Kluyveromyces lactis: one gene and its partners. The main gene of each other region encodes a partner of the protein of the gene in region 5 in a complex. Links are inferred from orthologs where the notes say so. Each region holds a gene or a part of one and is shown on either strand. Other genes may lie near its edges. The genes, in order: MRPS16, RSM27, MRPS8, RSM19, RSM28, MRP51 and MRP10.

What was found.
Region 1: RSM28 (region 5) and MRPS16 share a complex: the UniProt entries of both Saccharomyces cerevisiae proteins name them as parts of the mitochondrial small ribosomal subunit. The link is inferred for Kluyveromyces lactis from reciprocal best matches to the Saccharomyces cerevisiae genes RSM28 and MRPS16.
Region 2: RSM28 (region 5) and RSM27 share a complex: the UniProt entries of both Saccharomyces cerevisiae proteins name them as parts of the mitochondrial small ribosomal subunit. The link is inferred for Kluyveromyces lactis from reciprocal best matches to the Saccharomyces cerevisiae genes RSM28 and RSM27.
Region 3: RSM28 (region 5) and MRPS8 share a complex: the UniProt entries of both Saccharomyces cerevisiae proteins name them as parts of the mitochondrial small ribosomal subunit. The link is inferred for Kluyveromyces lactis from reciprocal best matches to the Saccharomyces cerevisiae genes RSM28 and MRPS8.
Region 4: RSM28 (region 5) and RSM19 share a complex: the UniProt entries of both Saccharomyces cerevisiae proteins name them as parts of the mitochondrial small ribosomal subunit. The link is inferred for Kluyveromyces lactis from reciprocal best matches to the Saccharomyces cerevisiae genes RSM28 and RSM19.
Region 6: RSM28 (region 5) and MRP51 share a complex: the UniProt entries of both Saccharomyces cerevisiae proteins name them as parts of the mitochondrial small ribosomal subunit. The link is inferred for Kluyveromyces lactis from reciprocal best matches to the Saccharomyces cerevisiae genes RSM28 and MRP51.
Region 7: RSM28 (region 5) and MRP10 share a complex: the UniProt entries of both Saccharomyces cerevisiae proteins name them as parts of the mitochondrial small ribosomal subunit. The link is inferred for Kluyveromyces lactis from reciprocal best matches to the Saccharomyces cerevisiae genes RSM28 and MRP10.

The regions. Positions count from the first base shown.
Region 1 is NC_006042.1:2,519,115-2,521,483, forward strand, and holds MRPS16 (mitochondrial 37S ribosomal protein bS16m), read right to left. Parts: upstream 945-2,369; coding exon 582-944; downstream 1-581. Other genes in the region: CIP1 (Cip1p), read left to right, coding at 1-56; mRNA-binding protein RRP12, read left to right, coding at 1,668-2,369. UniProt on the Saccharomyces cerevisiae protein: Component of the mitochondrial ribosome (mitoribosome), a dedicated translation machinery responsible for the synthesis of mitochondrial genome-encoded proteins, including at least some of the essential transmembrane subunits of the mitochondrial respiratory chain.
Region 2 is NC_006041.1:1,440,385-1,442,947, forward strand, and holds RSM27 (mitochondrial 37S ribosomal protein mS33), read right to left. Parts: upstream 840-2,563; coding exon 513-839; downstream 1-512. Other genes in the region: GPI1 (phosphatidylinositol N-acetylglucosaminyltransferase), read left to right, coding at 1-298; KLLA0_E16149g (uncharacterized protein), read left to right, coding at 1,002-1,166; RPS0A (40S ribosomal protein uS2), read right to left, coding at 1,400-2,074. UniProt on the Saccharomyces cerevisiae protein: Component of the mitochondrial ribosome (mitoribosome), a dedicated translation machinery responsible for the synthesis of mitochondrial genome-encoded proteins, including at least some of the essential transmembrane subunits of the mitochondrial respiratory chain.
Region 3 is NC_006041.1:141,093-143,616, reverse strand, and holds MRPS8 (mitochondrial 37S ribosomal protein uS8m), read right to left. Parts: upstream 1,161-2,524; coding exon 693-1,160; downstream 1-692. Other genes in the region: BUG1 (Bug1p), read left to right, coding at 1-360; AIM36 (Aim36p), read left to right, coding at 1,708-2,361. UniProt on the Saccharomyces cerevisiae protein: Component of the mitochondrial ribosome (mitoribosome), a dedicated translation machinery responsible for the synthesis of mitochondrial genome-encoded proteins, including at least some of the essential transmembrane subunits of the mitochondrial respiratory chain.
Region 4 is NC_006042.1:666,636-669,058, reverse strand, and holds RSM19 (mitochondrial 37S ribosomal protein uS19m), read right to left. Parts: upstream 930-2,423; coding exon 654-929; downstream 1-653. Other genes in the region: type 2C protein phosphatase PTC6, read left to right, coding at 1-358; putative ATP-dependent RNA helicase DBP6, read left to right, coding at 1,197-2,423. UniProt on the Saccharomyces cerevisiae protein: Component of the mitochondrial ribosome (mitoribosome), a dedicated translation machinery responsible for the synthesis of mitochondrial genome-encoded proteins, including at least some of the essential transmembrane subunits of the mitochondrial respiratory chain.
Region 5 is NC_006039.1:1,053,476-1,056,735, forward strand, and holds RSM28 (mitochondrial 37S ribosomal protein mS46 RSM28), read right to left. Parts: upstream 1,558-3,260; coding exon 544-1,557; downstream 1-543. Other genes in the region: CORVET complex subunit VPS3, read left to right, coding at 1-455; TPT1 (tRNA 2'-phosphotransferase), read right to left, coding at 1,968-2,678; MZM1 (Mzm1p), read right to left, coding at 3,228-3,260. UniProt on the Saccharomyces cerevisiae protein: Component of the mitochondrial ribosome (mitoribosome), a dedicated translation machinery responsible for the synthesis of mitochondrial genome-encoded proteins, including at least some of the essential transmembrane subunits of the mitochondrial respiratory chain.
Region 6 is NC_006042.1:88,558-91,619, forward strand, and holds MRP51 (mitochondrial 37S ribosomal protein bS1m), read right to left. Parts: upstream 1,654-3,062; coding exon 595-1,653; downstream 1-594. Other genes in the region: imidazoleglycerol-phosphate dehydratase HIS3, read left to right, coding at 1-370; KLLA0_F01012g (uncharacterized protein), read right to left, coding at 2,215-3,062. UniProt on the Saccharomyces cerevisiae protein: Component of the mitochondrial ribosome (mitoribosome), a dedicated translation machinery responsible for the synthesis of mitochondrial genome-encoded proteins, including at least some of the essential transmembrane subunits of the mitochondrial respiratory chain.
Region 7 is NC_006041.1:1,177,852-1,180,306, reverse strand, and holds MRP10 (mitochondrial 37S ribosomal protein mS37), read right to left. Parts: upstream 858-2,455; coding exon 570-857; downstream 1-569. Other genes in the region: FAD1 (FMN adenylyltransferase), read left to right, coding at 1-423; succinate dehydrogenase assembly factor SDH5, read right to left, coding at 1,177-1,668; NPC2 (sterol transporter), read right to left, coding at 1,985-2,455. UniProt on the Saccharomyces cerevisiae protein: Component of the mitochondrial ribosome (mitoribosome), a dedicated translation machinery responsible for the synthesis of mitochondrial genome-encoded proteins, including at least some of the essential transmembrane subunits of the mitochondrial respiratory chain.

The DNA of each region.
Region 1 (2,369 bases), on a different chromosome or scaffold from region 5:
CTGATGAACGAAACAATAGATTACCCACACATATAGAAAATGAATCCAATTTATAGTTGCACTGGAACACAATTTGACTCGATGTAACATCATGAGCACTAATCTCCAATACAAACCTGAACATTACACCAAACATACCTATTAAATACTTGAGAAGTTAGACATTCACTCACTCATTCACAAAAACATAACATAAACCATCTTTTTGTTCTTGTAATTTTGTTAATATTTATGAATTTTCGGAAATCACATAGTTTAACAGTCAGTATTCCTCGATGATACTTCCCTCATTCAGGGAAATATATGCTGATGACGATTATTATTATTGTGTAGAATTACCTGATAGCATCTTATATATGGTGATATGTAAATTTAATCACTTCAATTTTACCGCATGGGGCCAAGCTGTTAAGTGTATGTAACTACTACATTGGTTTATGACCGGAAAAAGTGCCCGAATTCCTCTTATCAATTTAAGCCTATATACATGAGTTCTTGACCGTAAGAAAGCCTTGGGAGATGGTGATTTATGCCCTGATTATTGATATACCGCTTTTAATACAGTAATCGGAACAGCTGGTCTATTCTTCAAAGACTTCTTTCCTAGGTTCAATAACAACCCTACTACTTGTGTAGGTCTTTCCCCAATTTTCATCCAGGATTCCAGCTTTTCTCAATAGTCTTGTTACCGTATCACTAGGTTGAGCACCAACACCGATCCAGTATTTAGCTCTTCCGAAGTCTAATTCCACATCTTTAGTAGGAACAACACCTTGTTTAACCTCTTTCTTCGTTAATGGTTTTGGGATTGGGTTGTATGTTCCTAATACTTCAATTGGTTTCCTATTCAACGCCTTATGTTTGTTGGTAACAACTATGTTGTATACTGGGGTATGTTTCCTTCCGAATCTAGCTAGTCTTATCCTCACCAAACCTTTCGTCATGATTATTGTATTTCACCAAACTTGGCGTTAAATTCTGGTTTAAGAGACTTGGTTTACTCGCTCTGGTCGTCTTGATACATAATATGTTTGTCCTGTTATTACGCTTTTAATGTTGATTGAATTTTTTTTTCTATCTTTCGAAGGATTTTCAACACCAACTAAATAAAGCATGTCTATCACGTGATATAGGTGGGATATCTAACAGCCGTATGAGCAACATTCGTCTTAGGCGTTTATGGCGACATTACAGCCTAATAGTATAGGAAGTTGATCTATGAGAAAGTATCTATAAGTGAGAAAGTGTTTATTTACTGGAGTTAGACTGACGGTGGGAATTAGTTTACCAAAAATGCAGTCATATAAAACGACTTGGCATTACAAATAACATCGCATTCAGTAAAGAAAGTTAACGACACAAATAATGAAATAGTATGTTCTTGAACCCGTTTAGCAGACGCATATATACAGAGTTGGCATATATTAACCAAAATTTATTTACTTTTTATTCTCTGCTTTCTTCATTGCCTCACGATCCTTGCTGCTTCATCACTAAGGGCTTAAAAAGAAATTTTTCACAAGCTGTATAAAATTTTCAATCTAGCTCATCTCATCGCTCATCTCATCTAACAAGTAGAGACGAGTTATAATCAACAACACCTCAGAAAAGAGAATTACTGAGTTTAACTTGGGATTGAAAACTGACAAGCGAACAAATTGTGCAATATGGGTCCTGAACAAGCGTCCAAGCTTCTTGAACTTGAAGATAAGCTTGCTAAAATCAGAGGACAATCTACATCAAAACTAGAGAATCAGAAGCACATTGCCATAATCTTGGCTGCTATTGAAGAAAATATTAATGAGCAAGAGGCAATTAATAAGAACATCGTGAATTATCTTATTTCTTTGATGTCCTTGCTGGATCAAACTATCGATACAGAAACTGCGGCCATTAAAGATCTACAATTAGCAACATCAACGATGTATTTGTTGGACATCATTTTTCATTATACACCAAAGAAAATATTAAAGAGCAGGTTTGCTGATATTTTGATTAAAGTTGCCCCATGTATTACTGATGAAAAGGCTAACGCTCCTTTGATCAAATCCGCTCTTGGTTGTTTAGAAGCTTTGTTAATTGCCCAGGATACGCAAACGTGGAATAACACTCAAAATTTAAAGGTGACTCCAACAAGAGGTTTGGATGGTCTACTTGAGCTATCTCTAGATCCAAGACCAAAAGTAAGGAAGAGAGCACAGGATGCAATTACCAACATTCTAAAAAACCCTCCACCTGGTCCAACAGCAGAACACGTCGCATCACCTTTGATCTCAGCATTCGCTATTAATGCATTGGTATCCATCCTTGATGAATCTGCAACGATTTCCAATAAGAAGCTAAGAGCAATGGGAGGTGCAAGTGAATTG
Region 2 (2,563 bases), on a different chromosome or scaffold from region 5:
AGATGCTAAAAGGTTACCTGGTGGTATCAAGTTCAAAGTATATGATGATCACTTATTAATATCGAATAATCCAATCAGCTTTTTCATGACCTTTGAACCATTCACAAACGTCATGAAATCCATTCAAAGACAGATGTTCTCGGTTGAGACTTTGAAGATGGTGAGTCAGGGATCAGTTCTTAATGTACGAAGAGATGAACTCTATCGTGTTTTGTACCATAATCTACCGAGACATCCAATTGATATCGATTTACTATGGAAAAAGTTAAAGATGGTAATGGAACAAGATACGATATAAACCCCTCTCACAACCACAATTAATGGCACAGATTGCATAGTTTGAATCTTACTTGAATATTCGTATTTAATAAAAACATAGTTGAAATTCGTTAAATTCTTGGGTCTATTTGAACTGACTGATATAATTTATATACAAGGTATTTTTATATGATGGAAATGTTAATTGCAAGTCCCTTTAAGTGGGATAAAAGGATAGGCTGGGCTCATTTTGATCACTTTCTCTTCTTGGTCTTTTTACCGTCACCAGAGGCCTCTCTCTTCTTAGTTGGAGCACCCTTACCTCTACGCTTTCTTAGTTCAAGCATAGTCAATCTATATTGTTCTTCTTCATCAACGAAGTTCATGCCTGGATATAGTTTCTTCAATTGCTTGAATCTGATAAAATCTGGGTTACCATAATAATTCGCAATAGCAGGTCCTTTAAGCCTCTGTGCTAGGATCTTAGACCCAGTTCTGGCATTTGTTGGATTGAAATTTTGATCAAAAACTTTGGCTGATATCTCAGCAAGCTTCAGTAGCCTAGATTTGGGTACAGACATTTCTCAAAATATGAAAATATGAGTGATAACTGATGGAACAACCCGCAAACTAGTTCGCTGAGAGTTAAAGCACACCTAAGACCTATTTATTGGTACTTTCACTTACTACTTCTGCAGCAGGTTTCTATTTTATGCAAGCTCAGTTTTTTTTCGAATGTTCCAATGTTCAAATTTTCATTATCAGGAAATTATCACCATGATGAGGATAAGAGCGATGAGAGATGCGAGAAGGGTCACATTGCCATACTGGGTACTGAAGCACCATTGAAGGGGAAATATTCAGTTGGCACGTTCAATCAATTAAATAATATTCAATTCTTTGTATAATTATCGGGTACTAGCCTGGATCAATAATGATATTAAAATTATACACGATGTGGAGTTTTAAAAACTAGTAAAAATAGTTAAAAATATGAGCGGATGGTTGAGAGTTGTTGCATGAAGCTATAATAATAACAATGATAGTATGCTAAGCATTGAATCTATATTATAGAATGATGAATTAAACAAAAAAAAAGGTGGAATAACTTCCAGGAATTCAGTTAAAGAATTCTTGAAGTTTAGTTCCATTCTTCTTCTTGAGCTTGACCTTCTTCAGCCCATTCAGCAGCTTCGGTTTGTTCTTCAGTAGCGTCAACGGCTTCTTCAGTTTGTTCACCGGAAGCAACAGCTTCTTCTTCAGCAGTTTGTTGTTCGATTTCTTCTGGGTTTCTGTAGAAGTACAAATCTGGCATGATAGCCCATGGTTGAGTTCTGTCTGGTAGAGCACCTCTCAATCTTAGGACTTCTCTAGCCAACAAGTACCAGATCAAACCGATGGAGTGCTTACCTCTGTTGTTACATGGGATAGCAACATCAACGTATTCGGATGGGGAGTCCAAATCGGTCAAAGCGATGACTGGGATGTTAACGTAAGAAGATTCCTTGATAGCTTGAGCATCGGATCTTGGGTCAGTAACGATAACCAATCTTGGTTCCTTGAAAGATCTGGTGATGTAGTTAGTGAAAGAACCTGGGGTAAATCTACCAGCAATTGGAGTAGCACCGGTGTGAGCAGCGTACTTCAAGACAGCTCTTTGACCATAAGTTCTGGAAGAGATAGCAACAACATCTTCTGGGTTTGGAATGGCAGCAATGATTCTGGCAGCCAAAACAATCTTTTCCCAGGTCTTACCAACGTTGATAACGTTGACACCATCTGGTCTAGCCTTGTAGACGTATGGTTCTTGGTGAACCTGTTAATAATTAAAAAATAACCATGCAAACGTTTCGTTCGCAAAAGTTAAAAATATATTGTTAGTAAAGAGAGAGCTTTTTCCCAACCGCAACATGCGACAGGATACACTTTTCGAAGTGCAGATATTACCATATGATAGAGGAGATGTTCGTGTACTTTTTTATTATTATTTTAGTTCCCTAGAAATGGCAGGCCATTTCAATTGTTGTTCTTTTAACAGATTCAGTTAAAACCATATCCTCTCGTACTTCAGTCTGATATCCTTGTTCGAAGGGAATCAGAATTGAAATAACGAGGGGAAATAGAATGTTTAACGTACGTATATCCTCTATGCTGTTAGGTAAAGAGCAACAAATATAAATATTTGCATATTCTTTCTTGTGAGTGAAGCCATTATCCTTGACATCAGCACTCATTTAGTTAGTAGCACCGTGCCAAATATTCAACATCCATGATTAACCTGCGGAGAGGCCTAACCAATGTTATT
Region 3 (2,524 bases), on a different chromosome or scaffold from region 5:
GATCAAGTAAAGCAATTGAAGTTTGTCAACATAGATCAAGAAAGCTCCATAGAAGAGCTTGAAGAACAGATAAACATCATGAAATCTCAACTCAATGATAAAACTGTACAATTGCTGTCCGCTCAGCAGGAGCTATCTACGTCTAGACAAGAAGTAGAGCAGCTTAGAGCAACACAATCACCACAACTAACCCCTGTGGAATTCTCTTCCTTTGATAGACATTCTCCATCCAAATTCGAGCCATCGAGACAGATTCAGCATCCAACGACAGACCCTGTTATGTTAGCTAAGTGGAAGAACTGGAATGTCGATATGACAAATTGGAGATCAGTTGGTGTTGGCCCAGTTGTGGAATTTTAAGTAAGTTTCAGCCTTGTTACTATTACCACAGAGCTATGATTTTTTTATGATTTGTCTCATTTGTCTCGTTTAGGCAAATATAATGCTATAATGTACAAGTATACAATTATATTAGTGTATGTATAAAACTGATATTTGACACGATTGATGATTGTCGCTAAAAGGAAAATCGCACTGATTGAATGTTACTATATACATGGAATATGAGGTGGATTTCCTTTTGATGATATTGGAAGTTTCGATGGTCCATCACACATGTTGATGAAATATTCTGCACTTTGTTTTTGATTATATGACTAATGGTCTTTATTGCTGGGAATTTTACTGATGATTCACCTAATTCTGCATAGCACTTCACCACCGACTTTCTTGGCGATAGCATCATCGATATCCATAATTTCATTCCCAGATTTCACTAAAATTAATTCACCAGGAGCCAAAGGTTTGATCAATCTGACGGAGGTACCTGAACATAGTTTCTTCAAATCATGTGCATCTAGACTGATTCTCAAGTTTGGTTTTGATATCAATCTACAACTAGAAATAACTGGCTTGTTTTCCCTGTATTTTAAACCCAACCACAGTTTTCTAGTAGCGATATTATCTGGCGTTACGTCTACCGGTGTGACATCTGGGCCCTTAGTAGATCCTCGTTGTAAACTGGATAAGAAGCCATGCTTGTATAAGTTATAAGCGAAGTTCAAGTGTAACTTTGTATATGGGATTGAAGTCAAACCAATTCTTGCGCGGGAACAGTTTTGCAAGTGCGCGCAAACATTACCCAAATTCACTAATGACATTCTTGACAAAGTGTATCACAATTGTTATGGAAGCTTAATGAGGATCGTTTTTCCTTGATTGGAGAGGCCAACCCGGTAACAGTTTATCATTGAAGAGTTGTCCTTCATCTCATGTGTATAGCCCAAATTTTGGTGAACAGAAAATTTTTAGAATATCTACATATCCCACCCGTACATCACACCGTCAGTGTTTGGAAAGAAATAGCCAACGGTGTCTTTATCAGCCTAGAATGAAGCGAAAGCAGTGTTGGAAGTAAGCTGCTAGATGCAGTTTCATATAATCTTCTAACTGTACGCCTTCTCAAGCCAGGGTCCTATAATGGCAATCTCCTTACCTCTTCTCTTTTGTTTTGTACCTTATCACTTTTCTATCAAACCTGTGGAAATATTTCGTCAATGACATTTTAAGATCTTTCAATATAGCTTGCTGGAGAAGATCCGGAATGTTATGACATTTTAATTAGGATTGCTTCTTTGTTTCACTACGAGGCCTATAGCCAATCTCATCAGTAGCTATCTGCTGCACTATACAAAGATCAAGGCCGATATGTTCGTACGCGCTGCACCAAGATTATTGAAGTCTCCGGTCATGCGCCGGATGCTGTCTGGAAAAATGGATAAAGCTGAAGAACCACCAAGTTTTAAAACCATTTTACTTGTTGGTTTAGTTGGGACTGCTATTTTTGTTAAGGCAGTCGACTCTTTGGAACAGAACAAGCCTAAAAACACGTACACATTCTCTGAATTTGACACTGTGATGAGTGGTCTAAGAAGAAGAGTTTCGATCTTTGAGCAAGATGATTTAAATTTAAGATGTGTGCAAACCGGAGTTGCAACCAAGAAACTGAAATTCCCCGAAGATGCGAAGGTTATCAAACCTTCAGAAGCTATTGAATTCTTCAGAAATAAGTCTGACGATAAATATTATGTGCTTTTAAATGATTTATATGAAAAGGAGGGGAAATCGTACATGGAAAAACTACCAACAGGTCTCTCTGTCGTCTTGATAGGTAAATATATGAAGGAGAAATGTCAAAAGGGTGACACTGTTTATCTACTTGACTTCCCAGACAATATAAAAGATGCGATCAAGTTCGAAAATGAGGTTTCCGTTATCGACAAAGTTATTGTACCAAATTCAGAAGGAGACGGCCAGGTTTCCAAATACTTTAAAACCGTGGATAAAGTTGAGACCATCTAAAATGACCCCTCATGCCATTTTCCCCATCGGCACCCTTTTGCATATATCTGGGGACTTCCTATAACAATCCATCCAACTTTATCTCGATTAAACTTTGTAAATATCATCAGTATCTAATTGCCATTCAGCAGAAGTACGTTGTGAATAGTGGGATGTAGATATG
Region 4 (2,423 bases), on a different chromosome or scaffold from region 5:
TGGACCAACCAAAATGTTACCACATGCTGAAAGATCAAAATTGCAGTTCGGTGGTGATGAATGTTTCTTATGTTTAGTGACAGACGGAGTAACTGAATTGATGAGCGATCAAGAACTCTGTGATCTCATCACCTCCACAGTGAACAATAGAGGTTTGAAAACTGCTTCTCCACACTTCTGTGCTCAGGAAGTTTTACAATATGTTATGGCTATTAGCTCTAAACATTCTGATAATGCTACTTGCGTAATTCTGCGGTTACCGAACTGGGGAAATTGGCCTGTCATTGATCGCACTGGTGCGATTAGAGAGGAAAAGCTACTAAGTGGTGTATCCGGTGGAGAAAGATCTAGTGGTTGAAAAAAGTCCACAAACTTAATCATAAATTAAATTCAAAAGAAACCTCAAGTAAAGAGTGTATATTCTATTTTACTTCAATTATTATATATAGTACTCGTTATGATTAACATTTGCATCTATTTAACAATGAGAAACACCATTAACTCCCAATTAATCGAGAGCACTTGTTCAATAAATCATTTCTTAGTAATAGATACAGTTACGTATGGAGTACACGGTGGTACATGAACTTCCAGGTGTGATTTTATATACATGCTGCTGTCTGACTAACTTTGTGCTTTTCATAAATGTCAAATCATTTGTTCTTAGTTTGAGTATAACTGAATCTCTTTCTTGTTGGTACGAATTCTCCTAGCTTACTTCCTACCATATCTTCTGTCACTTCAAACGCGACATACTCCTTACCATTATGCACTTGGAATTTCAGTCCGACAAATTGAGGTAATATGGTGGCAGATCTGGCATTTGTTCTAATGGGCGTACCTTTGGCCAATGCTTCTTTTATTGGTAATGGGACTATATTTGGACCTTTCCATACAGAACGTGATAGTAATCTCAATGACGGGAACATTTTATGACGTTATGAGTGTTATCGTAGACGCGAGATATTTGTCTAACTGCTGGAACCTTTGGCTGACTGATATCATGGTAGTGACTTAACTCTATTATATCTTGTCGTTATTTCAAGTTTTACAGATTGAAATTTTTTATGAATTCCGTTCTGAAATAAAATAATAGACGAATGGCGATGAGATGTAATATGATGCGATGAGCTTCAGGAATTTAGAAGGTCAGTAACAGCATAGCGACAGCATAACGATAGCATCCAGTCAATAACATGTTTGCTGCAAGGTTTGATCCTACTAAGGTGACTGAAAATGTACTAACAGCTGAAGTCACACAAATAAAAGAACCCACTGTGCCCCAAAAGAGGAAAAGAGATGCGGAAACTGATGATGAAGGCTCTGGTGAGGACGATGCTTCCAGCAGTGAGGATGATGCTTCCAGCAGTGAGGATGATTCCGATACAATTAGTGAGCAAGATGAAAACAAGGTTGCATCTGTTGCGCCTACAGAAACTTCTCAGCAATCAGTTGATGCAAAGCACAGTTCCGTATTAAATAGATTTCAACAGACTCTTTCCCTGCAAGGTGCGTTGAGCGCTTCAGACAAGGTCAGTAGTGACAACGATGTACACGATGAGGACGTATCCATGAAAGATGTTCACAGTCTTACCCCAATTCCTCAACCGGCCAAAGTGACCAATGAAGCCTTGAAGCTTCTAGATCCGTCTACATATAAATCCACTGCGTGGGATGCAGCAACCAAAATTCATTACGATAGTAAAATGGTTAAACAATTCGATAGCTACGAAGGTGAATTAGATGCACGTCTGCTTAAAAATATTACCTCCAATTTCTCATCTGAAACGTTCCCTATTCAGACCATTCTATTCGATAAAGTGCTCCCGCTTCTAAACTCATCTTTTAAAGCAAACAGAAAACTTTTCACAAGACGAGTTGGTGATATATTAGTAAACGCATCAACTGGTTCCGGTAAGACCTTAGCATATTCTGTCCCTTTGGTTCAAATTTTGAGATCTAGAACAGTGAATAAAGTTAGGGCAATAATTTTGGTTCCTACTAAAATTTTAATTCATCAAGTCTACGATTGTCTCTCTAAACTAAGTCAAGGGACCAGTCTCAATGTATCAATGTCGAAACTCGAGAACTCCTTGAAAGAAGAACACAACAAATTTTTGTATAACTCTCCAGACATTCTAATCATCACTCCGGGCAGACTGGTCGATCACTTGCAGATGGAATCATTTGACCTAAAAACTTTGAAGTTCTTAGTCCTTGATGAAGCAGACCGACTATTAAATCAGTCATTCCAAAATTGGAACCAAGTGCTTTTCCACCATTTGACAAACGATAAGCAGGATAAACGTCCAGGAAACGTAATCAAAATGGTCTTTTCTGCTACTTTGACTACGAATGCAGAAAAGTTGTACAATTTGTATCTCCACAACCCCAAGATCTTCCTCACAGATTCTGTTAAATTA
Region 5 (3,260 bases):
TAAATATAAAAGAAGGTTCTATTATTGATGATATCGATGCTTCTTTCGTTCTACGAATCATGATCACAGATATCAGTGTATTAAAGGAAAAGATCGGGTTCGAAAAACTACTTGATATATATTTATCACGGAATGATTTTGCTACGGTGGAGTCCTTGTTACAAGCCAACGATAAGGTAGTGCTGAAAGTTATCGATCACTATCTAAGTCTCAACAATACTAGGGTCATTAGTCAATTCCTTAACAAGAATACGTGTTGTATAAACGACTCTGGGCTACTTATAGAAATTTTGGAAAAAATACCCCCAACCATTCAAATATCAGTGTTATCGGGTTTCCTATTTCCGTTACTCAGACGAAAAGACGAATCAACATATAATCTACAGATTAAGAAAGGAATTTTAAGGCATCGTACTCAGAATATAAACAATATCGAACGTTGTTTAGAACTGTGAAATAGTGTGATATATCATTAAGTGCATTGTGAAAATATATACATGAAAAATAGAGGTTAATCTTGTCTATAGGCGATCTGGCTTGTAATCAAGCTGTCAATTCAGAGACTGGTGCCAAACCGGAACAGACTTTTTGCAAAAGTTCTTTTTCAGTTGAAGCCAAGTTGCTTTGTTCTAAACTCTTTCTCACAATTTCGCTATTTTGCAGAAGTTGCTCTCTTTTGTCTTCTGCTTTTGTTAGTTTGGCAAAGTCCTTCTTTGTGTATGGCTTGAGAATGTGGAAACTACCCTTGACGGATTGCTCAAGTTTTTCTAGATCCGGAGAAATTTGGATGTTTTTTGTCAACGGTTCCACCTGCAATTTCAAAATGGAAGCTGGCACGTATTCACCAAAGTTGTCTTTGTTCGCTGTCATACGCTTACTGACGTTCTTTCCATTAATTGTGACACCATCATTCAATGAACGATGCACAGGGAAGTCGGCGTCTTTTAGTGTTGAAACTGCATATCTGAATGTCCTTGCACTGAAAGTTGGAGCCAGAGCAGGTCTGTATCTTAGCAACGATAACGGTGTTGGATCTTGTGGAACATATACAGCCGAGTTGTGAATATTTTGCACAACGTTTTCCGATCCCAAATTACTGGAAATTTTCAACCCTGGAACGGTTTTACGAGTTTTCCTTTCATCGCTTCTACGATTCTGTCTGGTACCCAAATTTTGAACTTTGCCTGAAATCTCACTATACTCATTAGTACCGGTAATCTTTGGTGTCTGTCTTTTAGCCGTACCTGTTTGTACTACCGGGCCATTGGTTCCTCTAGTATCCGTTCTTTGTGTTCTTTCTCTAAAATTTTTACCACCACGGTCTTGACCATTACGGACTTGTCTATTATCCCTGGGTTTATTTCCTCCGGATCTGTCATCAAATCTTGCTGTTTGTCTCTTATCTTCCCTCCCAGCTGACCTCACCTTTCTGTCAGATCTTGGTTTACGTGGTTCTCTTGCCTTGATAGGAACTTCCTTCACTCTTTGCAAAACTGATGCTAAAAAGTCCGGAGAGACAGAGCTATAAGCCCTTTTAGAGAATGTAGAAGCTAGCATTATTAAGTAAATATATTAATGCTAGTCACACACTTAAACAGATCACAACTTGATATAGCGTTACCTGGTTTATTACAACCCTATACCTAAATATCTCCGTGATACCATAAGAACTAATCAAGTTCATCATACTGAAACGAGTTTCGCACTCTCATAGGTTTTATGAAAGATCAAAAATTTTCAAGGCGTTCAAAATGATAAAAACACACGTGATCTAAATTTCTTATGATGACAGAAGGAATACAACATTCGGTGGGTTCTGACGTTTTGATATGAACTTAATACAACGGCGAGTACATACAGCGATATGCCTCGTCTAAAAATTGATGTTGTCAGTGGAAAGTCTAAAACAAGTCAATTAATTATTAAGAGGTGATATATATATGTATAGATAAAGCGATCAAGTCGTTTCAGATAATCTCGATTGGAACTTTCATCTCTGTAGCCAACTTTTTTAGCTGTTGAAGTTGTTCACTAGATGCTGCAGATCTGCCTTTCCGTACTTGGATGAAATCAATAAATTTCAACGGTATGTCCTGAGAAGTTAGGTAAACATTATTTAATGATTTCACAAGGTTGAGGCTGTCTAGCATTTCCTGGATCCTTTTGATATGGATGTAAACGTTACTAGAACTTCTCATTCCACTGATGACATCCGTATCTTTTCCAGTAATGCCGGGAGACAAATGAACATGGTTCCGTGACATTTTTTTGATGAAACCTGAGTGAAGAATTGAAATGCAGTTTGATACGTTGGTGCCATGAACCAATTTACTTGATAGTTGTTCTATGTTGGTAATTGGTTTTAAAACGTGTTGCGATGGAGCAATTTGCTTCAATGTATGTCCTTGTGTTGCACAGACGTACATTATCCCTGTATTCGGATCAGTTTTGATATGAAATCGTTGCTTGTCATTACTAGCAACAATATGCTGTATTTCTGTTGACGTTGCTTTCAAGCTTTTGAGTCTGTTATGCTGCAGTATTCTATCCAATGCAATGTAACCATCAGAATCTATAGGCAAGTTTTCCTTCACAGCACCATGTCTCAGCAAATAAGCCAATGCTTTCGAAATTTTCACACTTCTGTCCTTAGGTTCCTGCGAATGCGAGGTGTTCATAATGGTTCAGTTAAATCGAGCTTAGCACTTTCTGTTTTCCCCAATAGCTTTGACCATGTCGTTCTCTATCGGTCATACATAACTAATGGAATGAAATATATATGACAACGAAAAAATAATTGGATGGAACCTAATATGAGTCAGATGACACACACGAACGTATATATAGATGTAAACTTAGGAATTACAATGTGCACTGTAGGCACCGTACGTAAACGCCTTGAAGTTGCATAGTAAAAATGATAAAATAGAGTTTGATTAAATAATAGAGACCGTTGACCAACATAATTCGTTATGTACATGATAAAGTTCCCATATTTGGTTCACGAAACCTGACGGGGAAGGAAAAGAAAAAGAAGATGTAAATTAATGATTGTGTATAAGCAAAATACTGTAACAGAATGCGCCATATCAGGGACTGCAAAACGCATCTGGGGTCAAAGACACCAGAGTTAGTAGTCGAGTAATAGAGTCCCTTCAGAAAGGACGAAATCAGGGGAAAGACAGGTCATCAATCTGCCTCATAATTTGCTATTCTGTTCCAGCTGCCTATTTGTACAAGCCAGCACCACCACCACAACA
Region 6 (3,062 bases), on a different chromosome or scaffold from region 5:
TGCTCTTGGCCAAGCCTTTAAGGAAGCTTTGGGTCATGTTCGTGGTGTGAAAAGATTTGGTTCAGGATATGCACCATTAGACGAAGCTTTATCACGTGCTGTTGTGGATCTATCCAATAGACCATACGCAGTAATAGAGTTGGGGTTGAAGAGGGAAAAGATCGGTGACCTTTCATGCGAGATGATACCTCATTTCTTGGAGTCCTTTGCTGAAGCCGCGAGAATAACTTTGCACGTTGATTGTTTGAGAGGCTTTAACGACCATCACAGAAGTGAATCTGCATTCAAAGCACTTGCCATTGCAATCAAAGAGGCTATTTCAAGCAACGGAACCAACGACGTTCCTTCTACTAAGGGTGTTCTAATGTAAAATTCCTTTTCAAGAAAGGAGTGGACTCTCATTGCATATGCGCGACATTCATTTTAAGTTTACATCAAATATATATTCATCCATTTTGTTCCATTTAAGTTACGAGCACGGCCCTTAACCGCTTGACGCACAGCTCCGTCTTCCGCGTAACATGACTGTATTTATTACGTTTTATTTACAAGTGACTTCTAGCTATGGTTGTGTAATACCTACCATATATCAACTTACATGGTTGTCTTTAATAAGTTTAGGAACTCTTCACTTTGAGATCTAGATTCTTCGGCGGTGACAGATCTTACAGTTTTTCTTGAAGAGTTTCTGGAATCGGATCTGGTATAATGTGATCTGCTTTGACCTAAGCCGATCTTCTGAGCAAAACTGAAGTCATTTCTTGGTTCTACTAAAGATGCAGACAATGTTACATTACCCCCTTCTACCTTTGGATCTTCAATGGCAAATGGTAAAACTTCTTGTCTGACAAAATCACCCATGTTGTATTGTAGAGCACGAGGATTACGGCCCACAGATTTAGCTTCAGCGATGAAACCACCAACAGCGACTGCGCGATCAGGTCCCTGGACAGATAAAACTCTGCCTGGCACAACGTGCTTTTGTTTTACACCATTTGGAGATTGTCTAAGTCTACCTTTCAAGTTGTAAGTTAGACCACCGGTGCCCACAATGTGCCACTCCGAGTTAGCTGCTGTATTAATATTCAACTTTCCCATCTTTTCATGTAAGAATTCAGTAGCTAAAGCCTTCAAAGGTCTGGTGTTTTCATTTCTAACACCAGCAATGGAATCCGGGTGTTTCTCTAACAGCCACTTCTTGAATTCTGATCTGTGTTGGTCAATTTCTTTCAACTTTCTTGTCTTTTCAGAAGGCGCAGTGTTATGAGCAATGTTCACAGCATTGCTGAATGGCGCGTATTTTCCGGCCCTCTTGGTTTTCCCATTGAATAGAGGATTGGATTCTTCTTCAACGTAACGAGGGGCTAACCCCATTTCTTGGAATCTGATTCTGTTCCACTGGTATTGACCCATTGGTTCAAAAGTCGTTAGTCTTTGTTGGGTGTCCAAATCGTTGTAAACCAAATATCTGGTCTTGATTTTCGATGGAATGCTTGCCTTCAAACCCCATTCCTGACGATATAAGGAGGATGGCTTGGTCTCAATCACTTGATGAGTTGGATGAGAAGAGTTACCTGGACGAAACAATGGCTTGTCCGTCTTTGCCACTTGTGCTATCCTGGAATTTTTTAACAAATTAGATATATGGGACATAGCTTTCTATTTCGAATTGTGAATTCAGTAAGTATATCTGTCTTCAAGCTAAGGACTAACAGCCCAGTTTAAACCCAAAAAGTGAATTATCTATTCAACGAATTGCTGATAGTTTTGGAACCTTGTCACAATAGTCGACGATAGGAACTAATTTAGCTCTTCAGTCAAAATCAGTAGCTGAGCTGTGTTTAAGATTTATCGAATTGAATGCTATTCAATGATATCGAAATTTTTTTATCATTAGAAACGTAACATTTTACCCGGACTTGCGACAGACCATTGATGAAAGTGTCACATTTAGTACTCATTTTAAAGGAAGAATGGTTTCTTAAGTGATGCTAATATTTAAAACGAGATCAGCACCAGTATAACATAAGTCTTCTATGAGGGGTTTCCCATAATCAGAAATCGGTGTTGAGTTTAAATTTTTTTTTCAATTGCATTATTTATTATATTGTTTACTACAGAAAACTATTCATTTTTTCGTAATAATTTCATATCAACAGTTCCTTGGTTTAGTCGATACTGTATGAGAACCTCAGTTTCGTAGAAATGTTTGTACTACTTGACAAGGTTATCAGATAGTTTCGAGCACATGTCTCCGCTATCCAGAAGCTCAACAAAAACTGATTTTTTTCCAGTAACCTCATCAACACAGTAGATGTCACGATCGGTCTGAATGTCAATCTCAGGTGCTCTAATAAAAGGTTTCCAGTTCCCTGTGTAAGCTTTATGACCAAGGTAAAGTACGATGGTAATTGGAACAGCCATATAATTTTGAAGGAATGAGACGACATTCAGCCTACCGTTGGATTCTAAAGGAAACAATGATACCCAAAATTGTACTATCAAAATAATGGCACAAATAAACAACGAGATGTAACTGCCATATACACCACATGGTGATTGATATCCTAATTGGTCTAAAGCTTGATCTTGATCTTTCATTGCCTTTCTGAATCTCAAATGAGACACACAGGTCATACTCCAAGTAAAGATAGTGGAAAGACCGCTGATTGACAATAACCAAACGAAGACTGTTTCCTGGTCCTTATATTCGGCTATGAATGAAAATAAACCAGTAAATGCTGAAACGCAAAGACATCTAAACGGCTTACCACTTTCATCCAATTTACAAAAATATTTCATCGCAAATCCTTGTTCAGCTAAGGAATGTAATGTTCTTGAGCTACTATACATCGCATTGTTTGCGACAGAAATAATAGACAATAGAATAATTGCATTAACAATATGAGGTATTATCCTAACACCATTGGTTGTTAATGCGACCACATATGGAGATGCATGGGTCAGTTCTGATCCAGACCCCATCAAATATGGGGAATTAAAGGGCACTAATAATCCAATAATCATCAAAGAAACGCAAAAAATGATGGCAATTCGTACAA
Region 7 (2,455 bases), on a different chromosome or scaffold from region 5:
GGGGAGACGTTGCAACCAATTCAAAAGACGGACCCCAGTTGGCCCCAGTTCTACAGGTTGCAACCGTTGCTACATTGGAATCTCTCACAGATATGGAGTTTCCTATTGTATTCGGGAGAAGAAGTATGCGGATTATATGAGATGGGATTCACTTCATTGGGCAGTGTAAACAACACATTGAGAAATCCATACCTACGGATACCAGAACCTATAGGCTCCATGACAAAGGCCGAGACTGAACATAGCGATTTCCAATGGGAAATTGAAAACAATTACAGAGGAGATTCTAACATGCATTGTAACGAAATTAACGAGAATGACCTTAATACCATCAAACAGCATGATTCATCTGAGTTCCATCCGGGATGGTATCTAACGAAAGACGAGTGGGAAAGAGCTGGCAGACTCGCCAGAAAAGTTTGAGATGAATCCACTCACAAATAGCTACAAAAATCTCTATCATATTTAATAAATCGTGAATTCCTTGATTTTAGATGATATATGTAATATTAGAAAATGGTATTATGTACAAGTGATAACGAAGGGGGAGAAAGTCTGTCTGCTTCTTTCTAATCATGAGATTTTCCACCAACTCTATCGTACAATCTAGCAGCATGATAGTTGATATTACTCTTCTGGACTTTTTGGTTCTTACCTAAGGCATTTTCCGCGGTACATGCCTTCAAATCTTGGGCCAATGTCTCACATGCACCGTACATGTGTCCGTTAGAAGACCAGCATTGTAATAGATTGGACATCAATACCAAGCATCTGTTAGCCTCTTGTTGAATAATTGGCTTTTTCACCTTAAGTCTGGGAAGAGGTGGTAATTTATAAAGAGGAGTCTTACTGGACATGCTTTAATATATGAACACTTGATATCTTGGACGTACCCTTCGCAACACGACCTTACAAGACCTCTAGAACGGACTACGCGACTACATTTATGATATTTTCCATCATATAAACGATATCATTCTTTATGATCTTAACAAAATTTTTGAGACTTTCGCCAATGTTGGATCTAAGTATGCGGTGTACGGGTTAAATTTTTCACTTGGGCCTGCCCTGGAAATGATGAGCTGCCGCGACAGAGGGAGAGAGAGCATATGGGTATAAAATAAGAGCTATAGACTATACTGTTGCTTAATTGGCAAGTACGTATACCGCTGATGTTCAGTATTTGGAAAGATCAGGCATGCTTAGGATTTCACGATCCTTGTTCTTACTGAACTCTTGCAATTGTTTTAGAATATTGGAGTTCTTCCATCTGTCAGGAAGAGGTGTAATGGAATAGTTTTCTGTGGCCCAGTAGTAGATATCCCAATCTAGTTCGTTCAACAACTGGTCGTACTCTTCTAGTTGTTCTGGGGTCATTTCCTTTAAATACTTAGCAGCAAAACGTGACAAAAGTAAGTCTGTTTCCAGAATACCTCTCTTTCTGGACTGATAAATTAATCTAGCACGCTTCTTGTCTAGAGACTCGCCGGTTCTCTTGATAGGTGGGATTCTGATTCTCACCGTGACATCGTCATCTTGGCCCTCAGCACCGTTGCTGTTGCCCTTGTTCAACAAGTAAGCATTTGCGTGAAGAGAACGGCATTGCTTTGTAATCGAGTTAACTCCAGATTTCAACACTGATGGTTTGTTGAAGACAGTTCTTAGCATTATTAGATGACAGTGGTCGTTTGTTGACTGGACAGGTAGGGATAGTATAGAGGAGGGTATACTAGATATATGTAATACAAATTAGGACCTCTTCCTAACCTGGGGTAACGGAGGAGAGAGATCAACCAATTCAAATTGTGATTCAATTAATATTATATATAGCAAGACGGGTAAAAAGGTGCCGTAATCGGTTCGGTCACGTGTACATGGACCTAGAACTCCACAGCTTTGCAACGTCGCTATAGGAGGAGACCTTATACTTGGCTCACACTGGGTAAGGTCAGTGAGAGACAGGTAGCCTTTGTGACAGGTGTGTCTAGTACGCTGGGAAGATTACTTCACCAGTTAGGCACGTGATCTGTTCATCGTCGACGTTGTAAGCTCTAGCAATGACAGAGTATTTGCCAGGTGGCACCTCGCTAGGGATCTCCACGATCTTGTTCAACTCGTAGACACCTTCCTCGATTGGACATTTCAATCCGTCGATGTCGTTCTCCTCCAATTGTTCACACAAATCGTAGGTTTGTGAGATTAACTTGATGTAACCTAATCTAACTTCGATGTCGATGTATGCACCTTCTTCGATAGTGGTTTGTAGGACACCTGCAGCAGCTATAGTCAAATTCTCACCTCTTTGTGGTGGGTTGGGGACCAAGTTTACTTGAGTAACATCAAGCGATTGAGATTGGTCAACATCACATTGCAATAAAGGAGAGTCACCAGGGATCGGTTTGTTCGCTGATGGTGGTTCTGGGAAACTTAATCCGAATAAAGAAGCTGCATTAGC